2 linked regions of the Cricetulus griseus genome follow. The protein of the gene in region 2 purifies or fractionates together with the protein of the main gene of each other region. This does not show direct contact. Links are inferred from orthologs where the notes say so. Each region holds a gene or a part of one and is shown on either strand. Other genes may lie near its edges.

What was found. Proteins that work in one complex are often made in the same cells at the same time.
Region 1: the proteins of Smad2 (region 2) and Skil purify together in Homo sapiens (affinity purification with western blotting; 8 studies listed by BioGRID and IntAct, with this or other methods). This does not show direct contact. The link is inferred for Cricetulus griseus from reciprocal best matches to the Homo sapiens genes SMAD2 and SKIL.

Annotation. Positions count from the first base shown.
Region 1 is NW_023276806.1:119,740,511-119,745,358, reverse strand, and holds the start of Skil (ski-like protein), read right to left. Parts: upstream 3,185-4,848; 5' UTR 3,049-3,184; intron 1,485-3,048; 5' UTR 832-1,484; coding exon 1-831. UniProt on the Homo sapiens protein: May have regulatory role in cell division or differentiation in response to extracellular signals.
Region 2 is NC_048595.1:163,543,449-163,547,528, forward strand, and holds part of Smad2 (mothers against decapentaplegic homolog 2), read right to left. Parts: intron 3,458-4,080; coding exon 3,245-3,457; intron 1,427-3,244; coding exon 1,289-1,426; intron 1,088-1,288; coding exon 943-1,087; intron 1-942. UniProt on the Homo sapiens protein: Receptor-regulated SMAD (R-SMAD) that is an intracellular signal transducer and transcriptional modulator activated by TGF-beta (transforming growth factor) and activin type 1 receptor kinases.

The DNA of each region.
Region 1 (4,848 bases), on a different chromosome or scaffold from region 2:
AAACTGAGGTGCAAAGAGACCCTGACATTTGCCCAAGCATTCATGTTCTACTTCAAAGGCACTGCCAGTTTCCTTTAACTGGGCCAAAGAGTTCTTAGCAGGAAGTATGCTACCATTTTGAGGAAAAGTCCGAGGCCGCAGTAGAGCATTACAGAGTCTTTGCGCATCAGTCAATGTGATCAGCCCACAGGATGGGGCATTGAACGGAAGTATTCCTAGGACCTTTAAGATATGAAGCTGGTCTGAAGTACACCTTGAACAATATATGTATAGCTCATCACATACTGTGTTTATTTGCTGGAGTGAAAATTCTCGGAGAACAGAATTTAAGACTTGGGGCAAACAGAGTCTCTTTTCTCCTCCAACTTGAAAACAAGAAATAGACTCCCCTTCCAAAACAGTCTGTGTGAGCTCTGTGGAGCTATCAGAAGGAATGAGAAGAGGGCCAGGAAGAACCTGAGGAGATGGAAGAGGCAGGAACACAGTCGGCGACATGCTTTCTTGGGAGTATCGGGCAGAAAATGCTGCTGGCCCACCCAAAGAGCTCTGACTACTTAAATGGAATTGTGCCAGTGTGTGTTTCAGGCTGGGGTTTAAATTTAAAGTTTCGGGGATGGAAGTACAGTTTCGTTTAGCATGGTCTCTATCTGTCTCCACTGATACATCTCCATAGTCATCCAAATGTTCCTTCTTCACCTTGGTCAGCGTTTTTCCACTGGCATGCATGTCTGTCATCATTTTCTTCACGGGAGGGCTGCCATCATCCTCCATTCCATTCAGTTTTTTATTTGAACCCTGAACTAAGGAAAAATTGGACTGTAGGTTTTCCATGGCTACACTGGTGTTTTAAATAATTAAGTCTGCAATTGGCATGTTGTACTCAGTTTCTAATTTGAAGAGAAAGGGATAATGTATACAAATACTTATGGCTCCCTTAGAAATTTTTTTAGTTTGCAAAGATGAATTTTCTTTCTCGATAGATTTGTGCAACTTTTTTTTTTAGTTATACCTTAGGAGATAACCGAAAATACTACAAAACTTCTCATTTTGTATCTAACAATAAAGAATATAACAATAAGCAGACTTCTGAGGAAAGTCTTGTTTTCTTGAGTTCTTCAGATATTTGTATTAAAAAAAAAAGGCTAATTTCTGAATTCAAGATGAGCAAGGTTTGGTGTAATGGTAGAGTTTGGTGGTCTTGTCTTTTAAGCAAAGCATTGGAAAGTGTATGCCATTACTATATCCTAAAACCACACCCAAACAGGAGTTGCAATGATGCAACGGTTTAATTTTTGCCAAGGAAACCAAAGGGGGGGGCGCTAATCTTCACTGAAAATGGTGGTCTGCTGCTGTGTGTCCACAAACTGAAGACTTGTCTAAACCTCCAACACCAGTAAGAATCTGAACTTCTATAATCCAAAAAAAAAAAAAAAAAACTGCCCAGTTATCTTCAAGGATTACAGTTCATTCTTCTTTCAATTGACCTGGAGAAGAGAAAGGGTGGGGAGAGTTACAACTCAATATGCTCCAGAGGCCAAAGGGTCACTTTAAAACCAGTTTCTTAATCTTAAACTCAGTTCACTTTACCAAAGGTAACACTTGAGTGATTTCCTTCAATCAAACACGAGTTATCTAAAAGAAACTTCATTTAAATAGGAAGCAGCCCAGAAGATGGATAACAGGAACATTAAATAATATCCCTCCGAACAAGGAAGAGCACAAATTTAGAATACAAATAAATAAAACTCAGTACCAGAGGCTTTCTCAACTATGCCATTTTAATTAAAAAATTAGCTTTTATTTCATTTTAAAAAATATGTGGTTCCACCCTCCAAAAGAACCAGATACATGTTAATATACCTACCATATGTAACCAAGTTAGTCTCAAGTGGATTAATTCATCTAGTCAATATAAACTATTTCTGAAATTAAGGAAAAAAAATAAACTTTCCCTTTAAAAGGTTAGTGAATTTGCTTTAATGGAAGCCAAAAGCTGTAAGACTCCATGCCTGGAAATCTCCATCCTTGAGCAAGACTAATCCGGGACAAAAAAGCACAAGGCAGACAGACCTCACAAAGAATGCAAATGGAGGCAGAGTGGGGGAAAAAAGAAATCTTTTTCCACTCCCCTCGGGAGAAAATGCAACGAACGCCGATAAATAAAAACCTTTGCTTTCTAAACTCCCCGCGATTTACGTTTACACAAACCCAAAGGATGACCGCCGAAAGCCATCTAGCCGCCGTACTGTGACTTTCGCCACTCCAGGGACACCTCAGCCAAGGCGAGCCAAGGGAAAGGGCAGGAGGTATGACCTAGCCCGGGGGCGCACCACAGCCCTGCGCCCACGCAGACACCCACCCATCTTCAACCGAAGGGAGGTAGGACAGGAAAGCCGGGGACTCCGGACGTCTGGCGAGGTGAGAGGGGGCAGAAGGAAGTAGAGGGAGGAGTCCTCCCAACCCCCACCCGAGACTGGGATCACCCCAAGTGCCCTCCCCACATCGCCCCACTGCGGGGGCCGCCGATGGAAATCCCCACGCAGCCGGTCCGCGGGAAGTTCTCTGGGGTTACCTCGGCGCCCCAGGGCTGTGCCACCCACCCCCTTCACCTACCCCCGAGCCGTGGCACCCAGAGGGGCGCGGGCAGGCTGGGCGCCAAGCCCGGAAGCCCGCAAGCCCGAGTCGCCGGCCGCTCGGAGCTGGGGCCAGCCCGGGGCATCCCCGCGGAGCTCAGACGGCCGGGGGATGGCGGCGATGACCGGCGTCCAGGTCTCCCGGGTCTCGGCCGCTCGGGTCAAGTGCAGCGCCATCCCCTGCCAGCCGACCCGTCCCAGGACCCGCGAGGCCTGTACACCCGTGGGACCCCCGCCGCGCGCCCTGTGCCCGAGACCCCGCCCGGGACCCCACGCATCCCGGACGCCCCCACTCCGGCCCTCCGCACCCCGGGGAGGTCCAGGGGGTCTGTGGCCTCCCCATCACCCCCGCCGCCGCCTCAGCGTCCCCAGAGGCCGCACGCCCCTCTCGTCCCCTCGAGACCTGCGGCCGCACCTGTGCCCGCCGTCGCCGTCGCTCGCCCGCCGCCTTCGCTGTGCCTTCGCTGTGCCGGCGCCGCTCCGAACCCCACACACATCGCTACACACAGCCTCTGACGTCACCCGGCCCTCGGCCCGCCCACGTCACTGCGGAGACACGGCTTCCCGCAGACGCCGCCGCCGTCTCCGGCCGCCCGGGGGACAGCGAGGGCGGCGGAGGGGGGGGGGAGAGGAGGGAACGAAGCCAGCGGCGCCGCGCGGCCCCGCGCCAGCCAGTCCCTCGGGCGCGCGCGCCGTCTGGCCTATTGTGGCTCCTCCTCGCTGGCCGCGCGGTTCAGGCTGCGCGCTCGCGTCCCTCCAGCCCCGCCGGGGGCGCGCGCCCGGCGGCCTCAGCCGCGCACGCGCGTGCGTCTGTTTTCTCCCCCGCCCCCTCCCCCTACTCCCCGCTCCGGCGCGTGCTCCACGCTGCTGGCTCGGCGCGCCGTCTGGGCGGCTGGCGCACGGCGCTGTCTGCGGTGCCCGGCGCAGACAGGATGTTCCCTCGGCCCCACCCCCGCCGCCCTCCTTCCTTCCTCGAGTCGCCCAGCCGGCTGTCTGGGGCCGCCCCGCCACGCCCGCTGCCGTGTGGAGACGGGCCAGACCCGGGGGCGCCCCGGCCGCTGGGCCGCCGCGCGGCGGGGGAGGGGGCAGGGCGCGGCGGGCTGCACTGTGCGCGACCCCGGCAGCTGGCGCGCCCGATCAGGCTCGGCCACCCCCCCCTCCCCCGCGGCCGCAGCTGGCCGCCCGGCCCCGCCCCGGAGGTGGCCTGCGGGCGGCTCCCCGCCGCGACCCCTGGGGTGAGCCCGCCGCGCAGACGCCCCCGCCCGGAGGCGGCGACCCCCGCGCCGCTCCCCCTCCCCCCCCCACGGCCGCCGCGCAGACGTCGCGGGGCCCTCGCCCCTGTGGGGCCTCCTCCCGCCGCCGCCCTGCCAGCTGCCGGCCCTGAGCCCCGCCTGGCCGCGCTGGGGTGGCCTCGCCCGGCCGCCATCGTCAAGGGAGGCCGCCGTTTCCACCCCGCCGGGACAGACCTGGCTGCCCCAGCTGCTCTCGCCCTCCATAAGTGACCCGTTCTAATTCACTGAGCGCTTTCGTTTGGGGTTTTCAGGTTTTTCTTTTCTTTTTTTTTTTCAGAGACGGTAGGAGGTGGAGAAAGATAACCACTTTAGAGCTGTCGGCTGCCACCTCGGGCGGGCGGGCGGGTGGGTGGGGGGAGTTCCTAGCCAACGTACCCAGGAGAGAGTCAGTTCGAATATTCAAGTCTGTGGAGCTAGTCCGTCACATTTCGAAACAGCAAAGAAATCCCCTTTTCTCCACCCCACCGCAGGACCAGGAACTGAAATAGCGCAGACTTAGGGAACTTAAGCTTCGGCGGCCGCGCACCCCTCCTCTACTCCCCCTCCCCCCCTTTTTTTCTTTTCGCCTAGTTACTTATTTTACCGCTTCGGGGTTACTCATGTTTGGGTCCACATTTGCAGCTGTCCAATTAGGAGTACTTTTGTGCTCGAAGATTTTTCTCCTCTCTTCCCCCCACAGTAGGTCTAACAAAGCTCTTCACCGCCCCCGCCCCAGCTCCTGTCGGTCCCCATCTTCGTACTCCCAGGTCATGCCCCTCTCCCATCTCCTACCCTCCGCTCCTTGACTGCTTGCCTGTGTGAACATGAATAATTCCACAGCACTTCCCATCTGTTATTGCCATAGAGACAGAAGCTCAGCAAAGATAATGATGTTCTGTGCAGAGCCAGTGGGGGGAGAGCAGCATCTGCGAGTCTGGAGGAAT
Region 2 (4,080 bases):
CAACATGACATTCTTCAGTCACGATAAAAGGCTCCCCATCTTTAAACAATTCATGTCCATCAGCAATTAGGAGTGGATATTCAAGCGGCTGGAGATGGCCAAGCAACTAAAGAATTTGCACTGCTTTTTAGAGAAGTGAGTTCAGTGCCCAGCACCCACATCTGTCAACTCATAAATACAAGTAACCCTCTAGCTCACATCTGTAAATCCAACTAACTCCTGGATTCCACAGGCACTTGTACTCACACAAGCACAGACACATACATACACATAATAAAAAACATGGGGGAGGCACTATGTATATATAACTCACAATGAGACCAAAGGTGAGAGGGGTCACTTACTCAGCTGATCTCAACTGTCCAATCTTATTTTTATTCTACTTCTAATCAAACTGCTACTCTGCTATTAGAATTAGTTTCCTACACTGCCCTTTCCTATCTCCTGAAGTCTATATGCATCTTCTAGAACCTAAATCATATGTTATTCCAATCAGAAAGCTTTCTTTGGATACAAAGTAAAGACAGCTGATTTATAAAATACCCTAACCTTTCAAATATACCTTTTCATAATACTTAACATTCTACATTATGTTAAAATGCATGTTTACCCACAATTTAATAATATCTTCTATAATACCAACACAGCAATTTTCAAGTTTCTTATCTTCAGGCCTCCAACTTTCATAACTAAGGGTCTCATGTAGCCTAGCCTGGCTACAAACACATACTAGCACCAGGTTTATATGTTTCTAAAGATTGAATCCAGCACCTCATGTATGATACACAAAGTATTCTACCAACTGAGCTACACCATTAACCCTCTTTCTTTTACTATTTTACATAAATATCTGTTGAAAAGAGAGATAAATGAATTACAGAAGATGCAAAAGATACAAATAATCACAGTGAAGAAACTAGAAACTGAGAATGGGACTCATACCGGTATTCTGCTCCCCACCCTTTCACAAAACTCATTCTTATGGTGCACATTCGAGTTAGCTGATAAACGGCTTCAAAACCCTGATTAACAGACTGAGCCAGAAGAGCAGCAAATTCTTGGTTGTTGAAGATCTTCAGGTTGCAGCCTAGATTGGTAAACAGTAAAACATAAAAAGTGTCCTTATTAGAAAATAATTTTAAAGGGAGTCTATATTTTAGATGGAGCATGCGCATCAGCTCCTAATTCCTAAAATCATTACCAACTAGAAAAGTTAATGAAGCAAGCTGGTGACAGGGCTATTTTCACTGGTGATATAACAGGCTTATTTACATGGGTGAATCCATACCTGGTGGAATTTTACACACTGTTGCAGGGTGCCAGCCGTATCTCTGGTTACAATTGGGGCTCTGCACAAAGATTGCACTATCACTTAGGCACTCGGCAAAAACTTCCCCACCTATGTAATACAAGCGCACTCCCCTTCCTAAAACAAAACACACATTGTTAGTTTTAGAACACTCTCCTCTTCAGTGTTCCTGAGAATCATCTAGAAGGAACTCTAAGCAGATGCTAAGGCAGTTGTATGACATCTTCTCACAGCCATGCTTTCCTGAACTGTAACTCAGCATTTTTTAAAGAATTTTTAACAATAATTTGATCTTTTCAAAGTAACACTCATGAAAAATATTTCAACAAATATAGAGAAAGTACACATTAGCAAGACAGCTTCACTCAAATTACCTGGTGTTTTAGAAATTCACTTAAAATTGAGTTAATTTTGAAAAAAATAGTGTCTGGGCAAATTTTCCTTAAAGAGCTTACCAGAGTAAGAAAAGACTCAAAAATATCTCATCCGCCAGCTATGCAAACATCTGCTTTGTGGTGCAATCGCATACTAGGTTAAAGAGTGGTCAGGCAGGACTCAAGTGGCAGCAGATCAGCTGTTATGCAGCAGAGGGACTAACCAGTAGAACAGCCAGCAAGCTGCATGCAGAGGGCAAATGCAGCTGCTGTTAAGACTCAGAAACTGTGCAACATCAAACATGCACTTAGCTATCAAGAAAGGATAAGGTTCTAACTGGAGGATATACCCAGAGGGTGGTGTGCCTGTGTAGCAAGCCCTACATTAAACCCCTAGCACACTGGGGGGGGGGGGGGGGGGAAAATACAAATTTAGACTTTTCAGACTATTCGATAATCAAATCATTCAAAAGTTTAAAAAATGTAAAAAATAATCTAAAATTATAGTGAACTAAAAATTTTGTTGGGAGACATGAGTAGGGGCAGAGGAAACTACTACTTTTCTTTAAAATACAAAGGTCTAATTAAAACACAAAAACATAGAAAATAAAAACTAGTGCTACCTGGATGAAAGATGACCCAAAGTAACAACACTTGAAAGTACAGGTAAAGCCAACAACCCATTTCTATCTGTTATCATTTTACAGAATCAACATCAAGATCATCATTTTTCACAGGAGGAAATGGCTAATCCCCAACAGGCAGAAGAAAGCTGACGGTGAAGAAGCCATCAGACGGATTCTCAGTACCTGCACCTCACTGGTTAGACATGAACTACTAAGGTTCCCAGAAAATCTGGATAGATGTGGATTATAATCATGGAAACTTACTACATTAGACTGAAAACCTAAATAAAGTGTTTTAAAAACTTAAAACAACAAATCTATTAGTGTAAACAAGGTTTGTGAGAAATAATCATTTTCAAACATAAATCAGGAACAAGTGGGAATATTTCAGTTAGACAAGTTTCTTTACTGTCTGGATTCTCAGGTCTACATTTTATATCTTCACAACCCTAGGCCATGAAGCCCCCAGGATGCCCCACTTCCTGCTGTGGAGAAGCAGCAGGCAGCATTTCAGTATCACTGGAAAAGCAGTGCTGACCTCACACAGTGCCAAGATGCTCCAGAGGGCTGTCAGAAATCCTCCTTTATATTCTGAAGCCCCAGATTGTATTTTGAATTATACATAAAATCACTGGGAGGAGAGGGAAATGAAAAGCGATCACTACTAAACACTGCTTTTTTTTTTTTCCTAACTAAAAGAAGACTGAGCAAGCTAGTCACTTTAACACATATTTATCAAAGAACTTCTCACTATCATGAGTGCCAAATACAAACAAAAATCAAAGACAAAAGTTTGCAGATTAAGAATCACCAAGGCCCAATTAAAGGGATTCACAGAGATGAAGCTGGGCTTTTCCATATAAGCATTAGATCTAATACCACATATTGTCTACATTATGAGTAAATTACATTTTCCACATAAAGAAAAAACATACCTATATGCCTTCTTGTCATTTCTACAGTAGCATTTCGGTTGACATTGGAGAGCAAACCTAAGCAGAACCTCTCTGAGTTTGAAGGATCTGTAAAGCCGTCTACAGTAAGTGAGGGCTGTGATGCATGGAAGGTCTCTCCAACCCTCTGGTTTAGTTCATAATAAGCTATTGAACACCAAAATGCAGGTTCCGAGTAAGTAACTGGCTGCAAATCTGAAGTAAAGGAAGAAATGTATGAACAACTCAACATGAAATGAAGTGAACATCATGAACATACGCCATGCCAGCAGATAGGCAGCGGCTCAAGAAGTCACTGTGAACATCTATCTATTGGTTTAAACAGATTAGGCCAGATAACAAGTTTTAAAAATTTCCCCATCTCATAATTTGTGTTGGATTATTTCTTTTATTAGCTTTCATCCAGATCAAACCCAAAACAAAAAGACAAGAGCACATGGATTAGCCTGCTGTACTTAAGTGTATTCTTTAAATGTACCAAAAAGATAGTTTTGGATAGGGAAAAATATACAGCCGACTAAGTTGAAACCTACACTAAAAGATCTTATAGTGGGAGAACCAAAACACTCCCTGACATTGTCTACCCTCATACATGTAAGAAGCAGAGTGAAAGACAAGTGTTAGCGAAAACAGGTTTTGGTACTGATGTACAACTCACTAACAGAGCATCACATGTAATTAACTTCTGTTAATCTAATTTAGATGTATCATAAGGAAGAGTACACGAGGAAAAGACATGACAGTTTATAAGATACATCCTAAATAAACATCCATCAAAACCTTACAACTTCATAAACAACATAGTTTCAATGACTGTC